4 linked regions of the Schizosaccharomyces pombe genome follow. The protein of the gene in region 1 binds, or shares a complex with, the protein of each later gene. Each region holds a gene or a part of one and is shown on either strand. Other genes may lie near its edges. A codon is read from its position in the direction of its gene.

What was found.
Region 2: the proteins of cox1 (region 1) and cox8 are in contact, whole or in part, in a cryo-EM structure (PDB 8Q1B), measured with the Schizosaccharomyces pombe proteins. Residues at the interface, in YP_011104928.1 of Schizosaccharomyces pombe: Tyr7 (codon at 1,739), Arg10 (codon at 1,748), Trp11 (codon at 1,751), Asp19 (codon at 1,775), Ile22 (codon at 1,784), Val30 (codon at 1,808), Ile33 (codon at 1,817), Ile34 (codon at 1,820), Val37 (codon at 1,829), Phe38 (codon at 1,832), Leu54 (codon at 1,880), Ser55 (codon at 1,883), Asn57 (codon at 1,889), Leu60 (codon at 1,898), Val63 (codon at 1,907), Ala123 (codon at 2,087), Leu124 (codon at 2,090), Thr125 (codon at 2,093), Glu126 (codon at 2,096), Glu127 (codon at 2,099), Phe408 (codon at 5,233), Gly409 (codon at 5,236), Leu410 (codon at 5,239), Ile469 (codon at 5,416), Phe473 (codon at 5,428), Met476 (codon at 5,437), Met479 (codon at 5,446), Tyr480 (codon at 5,449), Phe483 (codon at 5,458), Thr484 (codon at 5,461); in NP_594028.1 of Schizosaccharomyces pombe: Lys25 (codon at 1,030), Pro26 (codon at 1,027), Ser28 (codon at 1,021), Thr29 (codon at 951), Ile30 (codon at 948), Phe32 (codon at 942), Asn35 (codon at 933), Lys36 (codon at 930), Lys37 (codon at 927), Thr41 (codon at 915), Tyr44 (codon at 906), Phe48 (codon at 894), Ile51 (codon at 699), Phe52 (codon at 696), Ile54 (codon at 690), Pro55 (codon at 687), Phe56 (codon at 684), Val58 (codon at 678), Val59 (codon at 675), Tyr61 (codon at 669), His62 (codon at 612), Asn63 (codon at 609), Leu66 (codon at 600).
Region 3: the proteins of cox1 (region 1) and cox5 are in contact, whole or in part, in a cryo-EM structure (PDB 8Q1B), measured with the Schizosaccharomyces pombe proteins. Residues at the interface, in YP_011104928.1 of Schizosaccharomyces pombe: Met44 (codon at 1,850), Ser47 (codon at 1,859), Ala48 (codon at 1,862), Pro49 (codon at 1,865), Ser51 (codon at 1,871), Gln52 (codon at 1,874), Phe53 (codon at 1,877), Trp340 (codon at 5,029), Ser341 (codon at 5,032), Arg342 (codon at 5,035), Glu414 (codon at 5,251), Thr415 (codon at 5,254), Ser418 (codon at 5,263), Ile419 (codon at 5,266), Trp422 (codon at 5,275), Ile423 (codon at 5,278), Ile426 (codon at 5,287), Ala453 (codon at 5,368), Val455 (codon at 5,374), Gly456 (codon at 5,377), Phe459 (codon at 5,386), Ser462 (codon at 5,395), Ile463 (codon at 5,398), Val466 (codon at 5,407), Ile467 (codon at 5,410), Leu470 (codon at 5,419), Ile496 (codon at 5,497), Pro497 (codon at 5,500), Ser498 (codon at 5,503), Tyr499 (codon at 5,506); in NP_588158.2 of Schizosaccharomyces pombe: Tyr71 (codon at 1,137), Ile92 (codon at 1,074), Ala93 (codon at 1,071), Phe94 (codon at 1,068), Gly95 (codon at 1,065), His97 (codon at 1,059), Pro99 (codon at 1,053), Arg100 (codon at 1,050), Phe102 (codon at 1,044), Ser103 (codon at 1,041), Ile105 (codon at 1,035), Gln107 (codon at 1,029), Thr109 (codon at 1,023), Val110 (codon at 1,020), Gly113 (codon at 1,011), Thr114 (codon at 1,008), Gly117 (codon at 999), Leu118 (codon at 996), Ile120 (codon at 990), Gly121 (codon at 987), Leu124 (codon at 978), Phe125 (codon at 975), Ile128 (codon at 966), Arg129 (codon at 963), Gln131 (codon at 957), Ala132 (codon at 954), Ala133 (codon at 951), Pro136 (codon at 942), Thr138 (codon at 936), Met139 (codon at 933).
Region 4: the proteins of cox1 (region 1) and cox4 are in contact, whole or in part, in a cryo-EM structure (PDB 8Q1B), measured with the Schizosaccharomyces pombe proteins. Residues at the interface, in YP_011104928.1 of Schizosaccharomyces pombe: Pro181 (codon at 3,471), Gly182 (codon at 3,474), Pro272 (codon at 4,825), Glu509 (codon at 5,536), Lys510 (codon at 5,539), Leu511 (codon at 5,542), Gly512 (codon at 5,545), Val513 (codon at 5,548), Ala514 (codon at 5,551), Gln515 (codon at 5,554), Ser516 (codon at 5,557), Ile517 (codon at 5,560), Leu520 (codon at 5,569), Leu521 (codon at 5,572), Phe530 (codon at 5,599), Asn531 (codon at 5,602), Thr532 (codon at 5,605), Leu533 (codon at 5,608), Pro534 (codon at 5,611), Thr535 (codon at 5,614), Lys536 (codon at 5,617), Ser537 (codon at 5,620), Ile538 (codon at 5,623); in NP_593042.1 of Schizosaccharomyces pombe: Asp91 (codon at 969), Met92 (codon at 966), Lys93 (codon at 963), Pro94 (codon at 960), Leu95 (codon at 957), Ala97 (codon at 951), Leu112 (codon at 906), Asp113 (codon at 903), Arg116 (codon at 894), His117 (codon at 891), Ile118 (codon at 888), Gly119 (codon at 885), Thr121 (codon at 879), Asn129 (codon at 855), Leu130 (codon at 852), Ile131 (codon at 849), Trp132 (codon at 846), Met133 (codon at 843), Thr134 (codon at 840), Tyr136 (codon at 834), Leu140 (codon at 822), Arg141 (codon at 819), Pro144 (codon at 810).

Annotation. Positions count from the first base shown.
Region 1 is NC_088682.1:3,165-9,326, forward strand, and holds cox1 (cytochrome oxidase subunit 1), read left to right. Parts: upstream 1-1,720; coding exon 1,721-2,124; intron 2,125-2,125; coding exon of another isoform or gene 2,126-3,280; intron 3,281-3,334; coding exon 3,335-3,679; intron 3,680-3,680; coding exon of another isoform or gene 3,681-4,652; intron 4,653-4,760; coding exon 4,761-5,628; downstream 5,629-6,162. Other genes in the region: cox3 (cytochrome oxidase subunit 3), read left to right, coding at 5,797-6,162.
Region 2 is NC_003424.3:3,042,206-3,045,014, forward strand, and holds cox8 (cytochrome c oxidase subunit VIII), read right to left. Parts: upstream 1,103-2,809; coding exon 1,020-1,102; exon of another isoform or gene 953-1,019; coding exon 891-952; exon of another isoform or gene 705-890; coding exon 667-704; exon of another isoform or gene 613-666; coding exon 595-612; 3' UTR 544-594; downstream 1-543. Other genes in the region: mvd1 (diphosphomevalonate decarboxylase), read left to right, coding at 1-258; protein Med9, read left to right, coding at 2,146-2,511. UniProt on the Schizosaccharomyces pombe protein: Component of the cytochrome c oxidase, the last enzyme in the mitochondrial electron transport chain which drives oxidative phosphorylation.
Region 3 is NC_003421.2:1,355,842-1,359,212, reverse strand, and holds cox5 (cytochrome c oxidase subunit V), read right to left. Parts: upstream 1,420-3,371; 5' UTR 1,348-1,419; coding exon 787-1,347; 3' UTR 501-786; downstream 1-500. Other genes in the region: ctp1 (CtIP family endonuclease), read left to right, coding at 1-86, 131-322; efm2 (methyltransferase Rrg1), read right to left, coding at 1,976-2,887. UniProt on the Schizosaccharomyces pombe protein: Component of the cytochrome c oxidase, the last enzyme in the mitochondrial electron transport chain which drives oxidative phosphorylation.
Region 4 is NC_003424.3:709,251-712,894, reverse strand, and holds cox4 (cytochrome c oxidase subunit IV), read right to left. Parts: upstream 1,661-3,644; 5' UTR 1,595-1,660; coding exon 1,483-1,594; exon of another isoform or gene 1,177-1,482; intron 1,128-1,176; coding exon 745-1,127; 3' UTR 541-744; downstream 1-540. Other genes in the region: serine carboxypeptidase Sxa2, read left to right, coding at 1-404; SPOM_SPAC1296.01C (phosphoacetylglucosamine mutase), read left to right, coding at 2,872-2,999, 3,065-3,150, 3,251-3,467, 3,556-3,644. UniProt on the Schizosaccharomyces pombe protein: Component of the cytochrome c oxidase, the last enzyme in the mitochondrial electron transport chain which drives oxidative phosphorylation.

The sequences.
Region 1 (6,162 bases):
CGGTTATAACGCTATCTAGAGATTTTAACACATGCAAATCGAACGAATCAACAAAAACAATACATCCTTTAGGGGATGTTTGTGTTTTTTTGTGACGTGGTGAACAGGTGAGTAAAAGGGAAGAACGGACCTTAAATTTCGGCTAAATTCCGAATAAACACACTCTTTTGGAGTGTTGTGAAAGAAGTGAAAACTTTGATTTAAGACTGGCTTCTTACGATTAAAGTAGTTGGAGAGGTAAAAGCTTAACAAGCTCAAATCGTAATCATGACACTAAGTGGTGCTCTGATCACATTGGCTCTGAGACAACAGCCAAGATGAACATTTAGTTCATCCAGCAGTGGAGAATATTAGTCAATGATCGAAAGATTGAACTAGTCATCTAGAAGAGTGAAACTTTTAGTTATAGCTCCTTAAATTAAGAAAATTTGATTCTTAATTTTATGTAATTCTTGCCAATTTCCGTGCCAGCAGCAGCGGTTATACGGATAGAATAAGCGTTTAACATAATAAAAAGGCCTAAAAAGTATGTAGATGGAAAAAAACAAATCTTTTTCTAGAGTAATAAAGATGTTTGTAGTATTGTCAAATAAGGGATCAAATCCGACAATCTTGATGAGACTGCTTAAGTAAAAACTACTTACAATTAATTACTGACATTGAGATACGAAGGCTTAGATCGCGAAAGAGATTAGATACCTCTGTAGTCTAAGCTGTAAACGATTATTGCTCTCCCAATCTTTTTGATTGGGTTTAGTGAAGACGGTAAGCAATATGCCTGGGGAGTACTTTCGCAAGATTGAAACCCAAAACATTAGACGGTCTTGGAAATCCGCAGTGAATCATGTTATTTAATTAGATAATCCGCTAAAAATCTTACCTTTCCTTAAAACAATTAGTTTTAATTGTTGGGTATTGCATGGCTGTCTTTAGTTAATGTCGTAAGATGAGGTTAATTCCCATTAATTAACGAAAGCCTTCAAAGAATTTGTTTTTCTTTGTGTTAGTGATAAGCTAACTTTTTAGAGGGTTAAGACAAGTCAATATGATCCTTATGGAAAGGGCTATAGACGTGATATAAAATCTAATCCAATAATTTTTAATATCGAAAGATTGAAGTATTATTATAATGGTTAGGAGATTTATTCAGATTTAAATCTGTAATTTGATTTAATGAAGGAGGAATTGCGAGTAATCACTAATCATTACGTAGTGGTGAAATTTATCTCTGAGATGTACTAACTACTCGTCAAGCGCTGAAAGTATTAATCTCTTGAAGAAGACATTCATTTGTTTTCCAAAGGTGTTGTGCAATTAGTGTTAAGTCGAAATAAGGTAACCGTAGTGGAAGTTGCGGTTGAATAATTAATTCAGGTTAACCCCCCCCCAAAAAATAAAATACATCCATATCAAAAAGATGTTAATTGTTGGTATAGTTTAATTGGTTAAAATAATCTCCTCATGTGAGATTGATCTATAGGTTCGAGCCCTTTTACCAACTTTTCCTTAACCACATCTGTTTAAGTCAAAAAATCTTAAATGGTAGGAAACCTTTAAACAAAGTTTAAAAAAGTTATTAAATAATCTTAATGATCTTTTCATCTACCCTAAAATATTGAATCCTTTTAAAATAGTTTAATAAATTAGCTTTTGGATGAAAACTAAAAATTTTTTTTTAACTTAAACTTATTTAGAAATTAATAATTTAGTCTTGAGTTTAATGAACTCTTGGTGGACTTATGTTAATAGATGGATATTCTCAACTAATGCTAAGGATATTGCCATACTATATTTATTATTCGGATTGGTATCTGGGATAATTGGATCTGTATTCTCTTTTATAATTAGAATGGAACTATCAGCTCCAGGATCTCAATTCCTTTCTGGAAATGGTCAATTATACAATGTTGCAATCTCAGCACATGGTATACTTATGATTTTTTTCTTCATTATTCCTGCTTTATTTGGTGCATTTGGTAATTATTTAGTACCTCTTATGATAGGTGCTCCAGATGTTGCTTACCCTAGAGTAAATAATTTCACATTCTGGTTACTACCTCCTGCTCTAATGCTATTATTAATTTCTGCATTAACAGAAGAAGGACCTGGTGGTGGTTGGACGGTTTTAAAGCCGCAGACAAAATTGTCTGAAAACTCTTCTCGATGCGAAAAAGTCCTCTACTCGGAAGTAATTACTCAGTTAATTTATTTTTTAACTAGTAAAAAGATTACTAACTTGGGGAAAATTCGCCTGGTTAAATCCATCAGAGACTCGTTTCTATCACAATTAGAAAATATTTTATGTTTCTTTTTGGTTTATAGAACAACATACTCTTTCGGAGTGTGTTTAATGAAGAGGTTCTTATTTAATAAATTTTTTAATAGACATCCTTTTACAAGGGTAAAAAGCTGTTTTTCATCATCTTCACCATCAAAATTCTCTTTTACTCAATGGTTAGTAGGATTTACTGATGGTGATGGTTGTTTTAGTATTTCAAAACAAAAAATAAAAAATGGCAAAAATAAATGGTCTCTTACTTTTAAATTAACACAAAATCTTTATAATTATAGAATTTTATATTTTATTAAGAGAAATTTAGGTATTGGTTCACTTTATAAAGAATCTTCAACTAATACAGTAATATATAGATTAAGAAGAAGAGAGCATCTTAAAAAGATTATAGATATTTTTGATCAATTCCCTCTTTTAACTAAAAAATATTGGGATTATTATTTGTTTAAAAAAGCATTCTTAATTTTAGAGGACGCTAATCTAAATTCTTTTGAAAAAAATAGTAAACTAGAAGAGATCAGAATAGAGAAAAAGTCTTTAAAACAATATTCTCCAGTTAATTTAGAAAAATATTTAACAAAGTCTTGGTTAATTGGATTTATTGAAGCAGAAGGGAGCTTTTATTTACTACAAAAAAGCCCTGTAAGAATAATTCATGGGTTTGAGATTACTCAAAATTATGAACAACCCCTACTTGCTCAGATTTCAGAGTTCCTATTTAATTCTCAAATCTCACCAAAAATAAAATCAAAAAAAAATTCCTTAATTACAAATTATTCCTTATCAACTAGTTCAAAAGAAAGAATGTTATTTCTTTCATCTTATTTTGAAAATTGTTTTAAAGGAGTAAAATCATTAGAATTTAAAATTTGGTCTAGATCTTTACGTAAAAATTATAATTTTGAACAGCTTTTAAGAGCTAGAGATTTAATTAGAAAATTAAAAAATAAATATTCCCGAGGATCACAACATCCAAAGGATAAATAAAATAAGTTCAAGGTATAGTCCGATCAAGATTGAGAAATCTTGTTAACTAAAATGATATCCACCACTATCAAGTATCACTTCTCATAGTGGTCCAGCTATTGATCTAGCTATTTTAAGTTTACAATTAACTGGTATTTCATCAACATTAGGATCAGTAAATTTAATAGCGACAATGATTAATATGAGAGCTCCAGGATTAAGTTTATATCAAATGCCATTATTTGCATGGGCTATAATGATTACATCAATTCTATTACTGCTTACTTTACCAGTTTTAGCAGGTGGATTATTTATGTTATTCTCAGATAGAAATTTAAATACTTCATTCTATGCTCCTGAAGGTGGTGGTGACCCTGTACTTTACCAACATTTATTCTGGTTCTTTGGTCATCCAGAGGTCAATTTAATAGGCCTCTTAACGTTGCTATATGCTGGAACTACTTGAAAAATACTAGATAAGTGTTTTTGTTTTAAATACTCCAAGAAAAACACCAGATTAGTGTTTATTTTTATAGTAAAAATGTTAAAACAATTAAGTATATCAGCAGGTAACCTTTTGAATAAGGGAACCTCAGAGACTTTACGCAACGAAATCACAACAAAAAAAGTTTCTATTCATCTCCCTAAACACTTAAAACCAGCTAATGATTCTCAATTTGGTCACTATTTAGCAGGTTTAATTGATGGTGATGGTCATTTTAGTAGTAAACAACAATTAATTATTGCTTTTCACTCTTTAGATATACAATTAGCTTATTATATTAAAAAACAAATAGGTTATGGTATTGTACGTAAAATTAAAGATAAAAATGCTATTCTTTTTATAATAGCTAACTCTAAAGGAATTGAAAGAGTAATAACTTTAATTAATAATAAATTTAGAACTACTAGTAAATATAATCAGATTATTAATAATATATTTGCTCATCCTAGATTTAAAGAATTTAGTAAAACTATTACTTTAGGTTTAAATTCAAATAATAATTTAAATAATCATTGGCTAGCTGGATTCTCAGATGCTGATGCTAGTTTTCAGATTAAAATTTTAAATAGGGACAAAAAAATAGAAGTTCGATTGAACTATCAAATAGATCAAAAAAAAGAGTATCTTTTGAGTTTAATTAAAGATAATTTAGGTGGTAATATAGGCTATCGAAAAAGTCAAGATACTTATTATTATGGTTCTACTAGTTTTGGTTCAGCTAAAAAAGTTATTAATTATTTTGATAATTATCATTTGCTATCTTCTAAATATATTAGCTATTTAAAATGAAGAAAAGCTTATCTTATTATTCAAGAAAATAAACATTTAACAGAATCAGGACTTTCTCAAATAAAAAAACCTCATCCCTATCGGAAGAATATTAATTAGATTTGTTGAGATTTAAAATAAAGTCCTAACAAGGGTATAAAGCTTTTGAGTGTTAAAAAGAATAAATCACCTTTTGGGTGATTTTTTTTCATTAACCAAAATTTATTGTTATATTTTAATTATGCCAGCTTTCGGTGTTGTTAGTCACATTATTCCTAGTTTAGCTCATAAACCTATTTTCGGTAAAGAAGGTATGCTTTGGGCTATGTTAAGTATTGCTTTATTAGGATTAATGGTATGGTCTCATCACTTATTCACAGTTGGTTTAGATGTTGATACTAGAGCTTATTTCAGTGCTGCAACTATGGTTATTGCAATTCCAACAGGTATTAAAATCTTCAGTTGGTTAGCTACTTTAACAGGTGGTGCAATACAATGGTCAAGAGTACCTATGTTATATGCTATTGGTTTCTTAATCTTATTCACAATTGGTGGATTAACAGGTGTTATATTAAGTAATTCAGTATTAGATATCGCTTTCCATGATACTTATTTCGTTGTAGCTCACTTCCATTACGTTCTGTCAATGGGTGCATTATTTGGTCTTTGTGGTGCATACTACTATTGGAGTCCAAAAATGTTTGGATTAATGTACAATGAAACTCTAGCTTCAATCCAATTCTGGATTTTATTCATAGGTGTTAATATTGTATTCGGTCCTCAACATTTCTTAGGATTAAATGGTATGCCTAGAAGAATACCAGATTATCCAGATGCATTTGTGGGATGGAATTTTGTATCAAGTATTGGTTCAGTAATTTCTATTCTTTCATTATTCCTATTTATGTATGTTATGTATGATCAATTTACATCAAATAGAGTGGTTAAAACAAATCCTTATTTAATCCCTAGCTATTTTGATGATAATGTAATCTTCGTAAATGAAAAATTAGGGGTAGCTCAATCAATAGAATGGTTACTACATTCACCAGTACACGAACACGCATTTAATACATTACCTACAAAAAGTATTTAATTTAAAATCTTAACCCCCCTTTTATTTTATAAACTTTATTCCAATTTAAAAATTGGAGAGGGAGATTGAAGGATAATTTAGCTATCCTATTCAAAATTGTATCTTTATAATTTTTTTATTCCTTATATGTGAGAGAACACTATTGAGATAAACTAATTTAGCTTAAACATGAATCTTTCTACTAAATTTCAAGGACATCCTTATCATATTGTAAGTGCGTCACCTTGGCCATTTTTCTTATCTGTAGTATTATTCTTTAACTGTTTAGCAGCTACATTATATTTACATGGATACAAACATTCATCAGTATTCTTTGGAATCAGTTTCTTAGGTTTATTAGCAACTATGTATTTATGGTTTAGAGATATGTCAACTGAAGCTAATATTCATGGTGCACATACAAAAGCAGTAACAAAAGGATTAAAAATAGGATTTATGTTATTCCTAATTTCTGAAACTTTCTTATTTGCTTCTATTTTCTGGGCTTTCTTCCATAGTTCATTATCACCTACTTTTGAATTAGGTGCAGTATGG
Region 2 (2,809 bases), on another chromosome or scaffold:
AATGCTGTTATTTACTTCTTGGAAGAAAACTCCGAGATTGTATTAAATACACTTTATGCTGTTACTAAAAATGCTGAAGGATGGAGCAAGCAGTATGGCTCTTCCCCCGTTACTGTTGATTCTGCTGCAGCCAATATTGTATCATCTGGTATAAGCCGAGTTATCTTAACTCGAGTGGGTAATGGGCCTCGAGTTTTGACGATTGACGAATCTTTGATCGATGCATCTGGCAACCCTAAATTTATAGGAAGTCATTAATGATTTCGAGTGTTGTGCGTAGTATCAAGTTTTTGTGCACTGCAAACAGTTACTACATAATTTATCAACGGCACACTGTTTCACGGGATATGGGTTTTTGTTTCGAGATAGTACTATATATTTCAACAAAATACAGCAACCTCACATCGATTTTTTTGTTATCTGTTTATAGATTAAAGAATTCTTACTTCTAAAAAGAAAATTTATTTCGAAGATGCTGAGCACTTTGAAGTTTTAAGCTTTATTACTTTTACATAGAAGACGATTTGACGGTCAAGAAAATGTAAGGAAATGGAAATTTGATTATTTAACGCAACTTGCAATGATTGAAGTTTCTTACAAATTACGGTTATGCTAAACAGAAACAATAGGTTAGTAAAGTACAGACACATTAGTATGCTAACGCACGTATTTCACCACAATGAATGGGATGGAAAAGATCACACCTGAATTCTAGGTTAGATAAATCTTCATAAAGAAAAGGAAAGGAAATGTTCCTCTAATAAGTTGGCTTTCTATGCATTTTTTTTACTGTAGAAGTAATTTTTTTTGCAAGTGAGATGCCATTCCTGGTAAAGCTGCTTTTACCAAATTACAGATGCATAGGACTCAAATCTAGTTCACCAACATACCAAATGTTCCAAAGTAAAGTAAAGTAGGAAGTGGTTTCTTGTTAATGTAAAAAGGGATCGTTCTATTGAGCAAAAATAGCATATTGTTAGCAATTGCCGTTGAAAACAAACAGGATGATTCCCACTTACGATCCAGGTTTAGGGGCCGAATGAGAAGAAGAAAAACGAACACCACGAAGGGCTGAACGAGCTTGAAGACTGTAACGAAGCATGGGAATTGAGTTGGGAGTTGGTAAGTTTGCTGCTAGCAAATCAATCATTTCCCATTGCATCGGGATACTTTCGTTTAAGGAATTACATAATAAACTAGTGTGCATACCTTACTCTATATACGTGTAAGCTACGCAGTTTGGTATTTGATTTAAGGATACGTAGAACTGCGGTGAGTTTTCCTTGTGGTCTATTATATTACAATACACAGGTTGTATAAGTAGCAACTGAGTATAGGTATTGTATTAACTGGGTTATAATGTTACCTATCACTAATATAGCTCATAACTGAACTGAGGAACGAGGTTCAGTTGTAACGCTATTTATAATATTTCTAAATAGTTGTTATCAATGGGTATCTATGTATATAGACGGATAGTTACCCGTGATTATCAATAAACGGATCTTAGCTAGTATTCCAACATATGACATATAGTGATACGCAACGTAGTGTATCATAGCGTAGTGTGGTATTGCTGACAATACGGAAAAATAGCGAAATTTAAGAAGTCGGCGTTAACGATGTCTTAATTCGTACAACAGTACTTAGCTTAATTTGGTAAACAATAAAGAGTAATGTGCGACCTTACAGAAGTAGGTACGTTCTTTGGTTAAAATATCTAGTTCTTTTAGAAAAGTGGTAATTTTTTCTGCCACGTGATTTTAATCATTATAAATGTGTTGAGAGCATCAACTTGTCCGTCACCTTATAAAGCTCAACGTAGTCTTGTGCGTTGCAGCATTTTTAGAAGCTACTTAGAACATGAATTTATGTTGGTAGCACTGAGAAGTACAAAATAAAAAAATCAAATCAAATTGGCTTAGTACCTTTTGAATATTCAAAATTTTCAAGCTTGGGAGCTTTATGTTCTAATTAAAACACGGAAATCGGGACATTGGTTGGCTTTGTATGCTGATTTTTCGCTAATGCCAACCGTGAATTACTAAAGTGATCTTGAAGTTTCCCTTATTTTTGAACATTTAGCTGCTAAGAGCTGGCTACATATTTGAAAAGGATACCTTGAGGTACTACAGTTTTATCACGATGGATCCAGCACATCATATTAAGGACACTAGTGCAGAATTACTTTCGCAACAAGACTTTTCTATACTACAAAGTCGACTGTTGGAATTTTTGGCATCTCAAGAGGCTCGGGAAACCGTAACGGCTTCTAAGGAATTGACATTACTTCGCCAGGGCATTCGACAGTTAAAAGAAAAGGTTTCAAAAATGGAACCTGAGGAAATGACAGTGAAAGAAAAAAAATCTATCATCGAAATTCTCAAAGCCCGCATTGCTTTGAAAAAGGCTTTTCTAAAGATGGCATTATCTGAAAGCAATGATACCGTAGTTAAAAAAGAGGACGTAAGGGAAAGTCCTGTTGATACTTTTATGGAGAACGCAACCTGATGTTCGAGAGCATCAATTTAATCTCTATAAGGTACTTCTTCAACTCCAAAATATCGCGTCTACGTTGATGAAGTGAAAGCTATTCGAACTCAGCGTTTGTGATTCACTATCAATCTATTGAATATCTTAAAATATCTCGACGCTCTTAAAATTTGATACTCAGCCTTTAATTGACTAATTTGTAAGTTGCATAAAAATAATCCTTGTCGCCTTTTGGTAGTGCGTTCTCAATTAACACTTCTACAAACAGTAGGTTTGATAAAGAGTCCTCTTTAAACCTTACAATATAATTTACCAT
Region 3 (3,371 bases), on another chromosome or scaffold:
TTGAGCCTGAATTTTTAAACGATGATGTTATTCGAGGTAATAAACGTAAAGCACTTCCTGCTTACGAATGTCCGGATTGCCAAAAGGTAAGAGTATTTTTGGCTTTTTTCCCTACTAATTGGTGTTTTAGTTCTATGAGTTACATGGTCCAGTCAAAGAAAGCAGCGTTGCGCCTACTTGGAATGACGAAAACCGCTTGGGTGGTGGCTCTTTACCCAATTGTAAGCATCAACCTTTGGTGCAAAAAGTAGGCCGGCATCGAAAATTAAACATCCCCAAACCTATTCCAAATGGTTTTTGGGAAAGTGATTTTGTAGATTAAAACTAAATAATGATTGTGAAACTTCATCCAATGACAACTTGTCTAAATAAATTGATACGCCAACCGTGTACATAGATGTATTCAGAGATCATTAGCATGAAGCTTACAACGTTACAATAAGCATTCGAACTTCGATTAGCGTTCACTACCCCAATTGTTAATCAACTACATTCAGCAAAGCAATGAATTTACGATTTACTATATTCCGGACTTATTCACGATAAGCTGAAATTTTCATTAGAAAGGGGGATAAATTAAAACTCGTTTTTAGAAATAAAAGAAGCGAATGTAGCAAAGTCAAACCTTCCAGTACCTGATAATGGTGGGTCCGACGAAGTAGCATCTTACCATGAAAGTCGAGTTAGGCTCAAGAAATAAAACAACTAAATAAATTTTCATTTGACTAAGCAAAAAGAAACCCAGATCATGCTGAAACTTTATTGAACTCAAAATGTGGGAATTTCTTATTTCTTGTCCTTTTCGGAGGGGGAGAAAATACCACCGGAAATTTGACCACGTCCCTTAAACCCTTCGCTAGCTTCACCACTAATAGGGTTGATCTTGTTCTCCTTCATGTACTCATTGGACTTCTCTTGCCATTCACGAGTCATGGTACGAGGAGAAGGAGCAGCTTGAGTGCGGATGAGACCAAACAATACGACACCGATCGTTAAACCAGCGACAGTTCCCCAAAAAACTGTCTTTTGACTAATGTGGCTGAAAGCACGAGGACCGTGTTCACCAAAAGCAATCCAATATGCGGCTTTCTTTTCCTCAATGGAGAGTGTCGTCCAGGGTTGTTTCTGACGAGCATACAAATCTGTGATAAGACCGTCTTTCTCCTCCTGAGACATAATACCCCAACGCTTGTCCAAATCAACCAAACGAGGACGAGCGATCATGGCCTCTCCGGAAGGCTGCTCTTTCTGCAAAGCGTTGGTAGCAGCAGCACTCACAGTAGCAGCATTGCGAGTGCAGAGAAGCTTCATTGGCACTTTTTTGCAGATAATTTTTGAAAGATACATAATTATTAGCTTAATTCAATAATTTAATGCTAAAAAGATCGAATTATAGAGAGAGGGGGAATTTGGGTGTGTAAGGAAGAAGGCCAACGCCAATCCTCGGGAGTCCCATTGGCACACTGTCGGAGAAATTAGGGTAGGGTTTAGCTTCGCATGCTGATTAAAGATCGAAAGTACGAAGGGTAAGTGAAATGTTTATGGTTAATTCTACTTTCTAATTTCTAGTCCTCCGTTTGAATTTGTAGAAAATAACTATGAAAGCTCATAGAGACGAAACGATACTAATGTGTTGCTTTGAATGAACGCGGAAGGATAAAAAAGTATTTACAAGAAAACAATCGGTAACTTTCTCAAATAGATTTTCTACTAAACCGTAATTCAGTATCGATGTCCTGTTGATCTAAACCAACCTACGCAATTTCGTTCCTCTAAACAGAAAAAAGCGGGCTCAAAAAGCCAGCTTTAAAACCAAAAGTGATTCCCTTTGATACTGTAAATAATACAAAAGAATCTATTGCTTTGCTATTAAAATCTAAAATTATTCAAACAAGGAAAAAATAAAACCCAATTATTTTGGCTCGCTTTTTCTAGTTTGCAACATGGTTTGACCTATAGATTGATACATTTTAAGTTATCCATGGTATTTCCATCTACTCCAACGACAAGTTACTGGGTATAGAGAGCCAAAGTCTTCTTCACCAATTTCTTCTCCCATTTGTCTTTCAAATCCGGCGGCGTCCATTCCCTTTTCAAACACACCTATTTCTTCCAAATGTGTTTCGCGAAGTGGATACTCTGTGATAACAATCCCGTCCTTAGCTAAATATTTACGAAACAGTGCAATGGCTAACTCGCCGAAATGAGTTTCATAGATACAATCACTTGCTATAATCCGTTGAAATGGTTTAATAAGCCATGATGGTCGGTTATCATCATCTGGGGGATTCATCCAATCTAATACATGACAGCTTACTGAACCCGCATATTGCTGGATAAGTTCAGAATTGTAATCAACGTTATACTGCATATTTTCTACTATATCTGGTAGATCTGTACATACAACTTGCCATCCTAATTGAATGGCTGCACTAATGCCAACAAGCCCAGTCCCAGCCCCTAATTCTAGCGCGTTAATGGAATTACTCAAATCTTCCCATTTGGGAAGATTTGCTGAAAGCAAGGGAGCAGACCCCCATGTTTTAAATCCTAAAGTATTATAGGTCATAGTGGGCTCTCGAAGAACTACAGAAACACCATTTGAAAGGGAAAATTCCCTCTTCCTAGTAGGAGCTGCAAGTCTACCACTACGCTCTGCAATTCGTTCACAAATCGTGCTAACCAAATAGTCTCGTTCCTCTTCAACTGTGATCCATTCCAAATTTGTAGCTAAGAGCTTGATAAGCCAATTGAGGATTATTTTCTCCTCATACTTAGGAAGGTCCCACAAGTGCTCCCCAGTAGGAATTTTGTCCAAAACATCTTTAATTTGAGAGTAAGAAGGCTGTTCGTGACTTAAAGGTAGATCCGTGTCTTCTAAAATCATTGTGATTTTTTTAAAATACCCAAAACCAGAGACGAAAAAGCAAAAACAAAAGAAATCCCAAAGACCCAAAAAAGACAGGAGTCAACCTGTTTTCCTTTGCAAACCAGCTAAATTTTAAACAAATGAGAATCCCAATTAACTACCTATGTGAGAGTATGCGTGAGAGACATACTATGATTAAGTATGGATAAAACGAAATTTCTCTCTTTACCATCCATGAGTCCAACTTTTCAAATTAGATCAAAGCTAGGTAACATGTACCTCGCAGGAGTGAAATCACGGTGTTGATCAAAAAGCAAGAAGCAATTTAAAAGCACTGGTTATTAAAGCATCTAATTTCTCAATTTCATTCTCACTCAACCGCCTATCCCAAAAATACAACTCAATTCCAATGGATGTATGTCTTTTCCAGACCGCGTTGTCTACACTGCGTGAAAAAAAGGAATAATGAGGAATATTGTGTCCCTATATGCAAATGCAATAG
Region 4 (3,644 bases), on another chromosome or scaffold:
CTTCTTTACATGCTACGAAAGCTTCAACTGCGTTGACAAGCGGCGAGGGTGTCTTCGCAGACGGATGCAATTTTGACTTATACAAAAAGATTGTGAGTAACAACGTAGAATCAGTTCTCGTTGAAATAATTCCACGCTTAACAGAAAAATACAAAGTGTCTTTCTTAGCTGGGGCATTGGATCTTCAAATTCTTTGGACCGGAACTCTTTTGGCATTGCAAAATACAACATGGAATGGATGGCAGGGATTCACTCAATCTCCTGGAAGTTTAGAGACAACTAATGGATTTACTTTGGATGAACGTAACTTAGCCTTTACATTGTCCAACTCGGTTGGGCACATGGCTCCATCTAAAGACCCTCAAATGGTTAGAGAATGGCTTGAAAATACGTTGCTTTATTAAAAGTTTAATATCGGAAAATTTAAAATACAAGTTTATTGACTTACCACTGATGTGGTATATCAATAAATAACTATCGTTTATGAAACTCGGAACGATAATTAGATCATATTTCCGCATGACTACAAGAAAAAAAGAATGGTGCTTGAATTAACAACTAAGATATGGTTGAATAGATAGAATTATTTATAAGATATACGTTTACGAATAATCGAATCGTTCCCAAAATAAGAAATAGATCAGCATACAGTTTTCATTGATTTTTCAAAGTTCAAATAAAAGAGCTAAATTGTTATAAAAGAGTATGAAAATAGCAAGGGGATATGGAAGATTGGTAAGCATACTAATGACTGTGTTCAGCGTTGGGATCTCCCATGAATTTTAATTTGTATACAGATCCGCATTCAGGACAACGGCGGAGTTTGTCTTTGTAGACAGTCATCCAAATTAAATTATGTGAACCAGAAGGACTACCAGTACAGCCAATATGACGGTAAGGATCAAGAGAAGTGACCATTATAGGATCCGTCAATGTGCCTTTACGAGAAGCATCCAACGGTTTCATATCAAATGCATCTCTCCCTGAAAGCTCTGATAAAAGTTCATATCGTTCCAAACCAGTGGCTTGCTCCAAATCAGTTGGAACCTCGCCGTCACGACCACCAGGTCCGATCAAATCAGAAGGTTCCTTAGCGTTGGCTAATTCTTGAGCGGCGGCTTTTACAACTAAAAGAATGTTAGTGAAGGAGATAAAAATTAAGCTAAAAAGCCCTAAAATGTATCGGCAGCACAAATTAACAAGTCATATCTACTAAGCGACTTAATAGATGAAATAGAAAGCGTTTTAAGAGAGTGGGCTATAGGCAACGTCGATTTTCATTCTTTTGATTACTTTTTAGGTCTGTAAAATATAGAAAAGAATGAATGGGCACACAAGCCTAACTTCCGATATATAATTAATAGCAAAACTGTACATCGGAGATCAAGAGTCAACGGAAGCTTTACTCCTATAGCCAGTACTAAACAAGCTTTAACCATTAAGCTGCTATGACAAACTTTACTAAGCTTTCAAAGGACTTACCGTTTTGCTCATTACGGCGGATTGAAGCAGAAACAAAGCCACGGTACAGAGAAACAGTACTCCTGACCGCTGCTCTTTGTCTGGAGACACGAAGCATAGAATTCATAAACATCTTAAAAGACAATTATTGATGATTTATAACCTGATAATGGGTGAGATGGGGTGTTGTGTAGTTTCCAACGTTGGTCCGGTATTGTGTAACGAAATTTGGTAGGACAGCAAGCTACAACAGAAAAAAAGATGAGAAGGTTAACAAAAAACGGAATTATTTCTTAAACAGTTACGAATAAGATGATAATGGGGAAGTTCCAATATTACTATTGCCTTAATTATATTGTATAAAAAACGAGTAGTATGAGATGTCCTTTTCTTGATTGACTATCGGTGCTCATAACTTGCTAAACATATCTGAGTGTTATAATTAAAGGGATCATTGCTATATTTCTACTGATTGTTTGTGTTTTTTAAGGTTCATGAGCTATACCCTGGAAGAAATTGACTTAAATTGTTTTGTTTACTCATTTCTTATACAACTCTTTATGAACTAGAGGTTTAATGTATCATGTTTGCCTCGGGAATATTAATTATTTTAAAAGCAATATGACCGAAAGAAATAAATTCCCTAGTGATGAACGATTTTCAGGTCGTTCATTTTCGATCTTGTCCTCTCAATTATTACAATCCGTTTGTTCTATTGTTTAAAGCAAACATGCATACATTCTCTGTATATTACTGACCACATTGTGTTAATCAATTAAATCTAATACGAAATACTATTTTTTAATACCTTTTCGTTGGTTCATTTAGTCGTTTCTTTTCATCTAGTTTATTCACATTAAATTTCATAGCTTTTCATAATAATTGTAAAAAACGTTGAGGTGTCTTTCTGCTATTTTGTAGCTAATTTACAGAGTTAACTATTGAGTCAACCAACTAAGTTGTTTATTTAGCAACTTCGAACATAACCCAAGCGATGAAAACCAAATTGATAAATATTTATGTAATAAAGAAAGAGGAAATATGTGAAGCTTTTATTAACTTCGTAGACGTTAAACTATTCCCAAATTTCCTTCTAATAACGAATATGTATTACGCAGTTCATTATTCCGCGATATTTAAATTGCCATAGTTTGGTGATAGTTGACGCGTTTGGCATCAACTTAGTAGCAATCCAGTGCTTATTCGGGACTCGAATATATCTTGAGAACACAAAGTCATATCTCTTAACTTCTTAAGTGTACTTTTTTATTAAGAGAGCTTTGAGGTCAACCTGTTTTCTCGAAGCTTAGGCTTAAGTGACTTCGTTCTTCTTCCATTCATAGTTTCGATACTTTAACAAGTTTTTTTTACAAAGGATCGTCAGACTTCTGTATCGATATTTTCCCCACTATGTCTGATGCTGAAGACAGCGATTCGATTGTAAATGAATTTGTAACGGCAATTGTTCGAGAATCCGATAAGTTTGCCAAAGTGCATTCTTATCCCATGCAGTATGGTACTGGAGGATATCGCGCTGAGTACGTTGATAAAAAAAGAAACTTACTTTTAGTTTAAATGGAAATTATTAACATTTTATTTATAGCGCTGAGCTGCTTTCGAGTGTTGCTTTTCGCACAGGCGTAATCGCCAGCTTTTTGTCAGCCAAATTGCATGGACAACCTGTTGGACGTAAGACACATACTTTTATTATTGCGAGATGATTCATTTACATATTGATATCCATCTTGTTCCTTTGTATTTCTTTGAGTTTACTTACTAACAATCTTAGTTATGGTGACTGCCTCGCACAACGCCTCTTCCGAAAACGGGTTAAAGATCGTAAACATTTTGAGTAGCCTGGATTCTAGCAAATGGGAAGCATACCTGGATCAAGTAGTAAATGCGGATTCCGCTGACGAATTAACGGTTTGTTTAACTTCAATTTTGAAAAAGGCAAAGATTATTCCCGGTTCTGAAGCTCGGGTGTTTGTTGGCTATGACTCAAGGTTTGTTTTACTTTTATTGTCGATATTAGATCACTTAATTTCTCCGCTTTTTTAAATCTTATGTCCAAGACTAACATCTAATACTTAGGTCTACTTCAGAAATCCTTGCGCAAGCTGTAATTGACGGTATTGTGGTCTGCAAAGCAAAGTACGAAAATTTTGGCCTTTTAACTACAC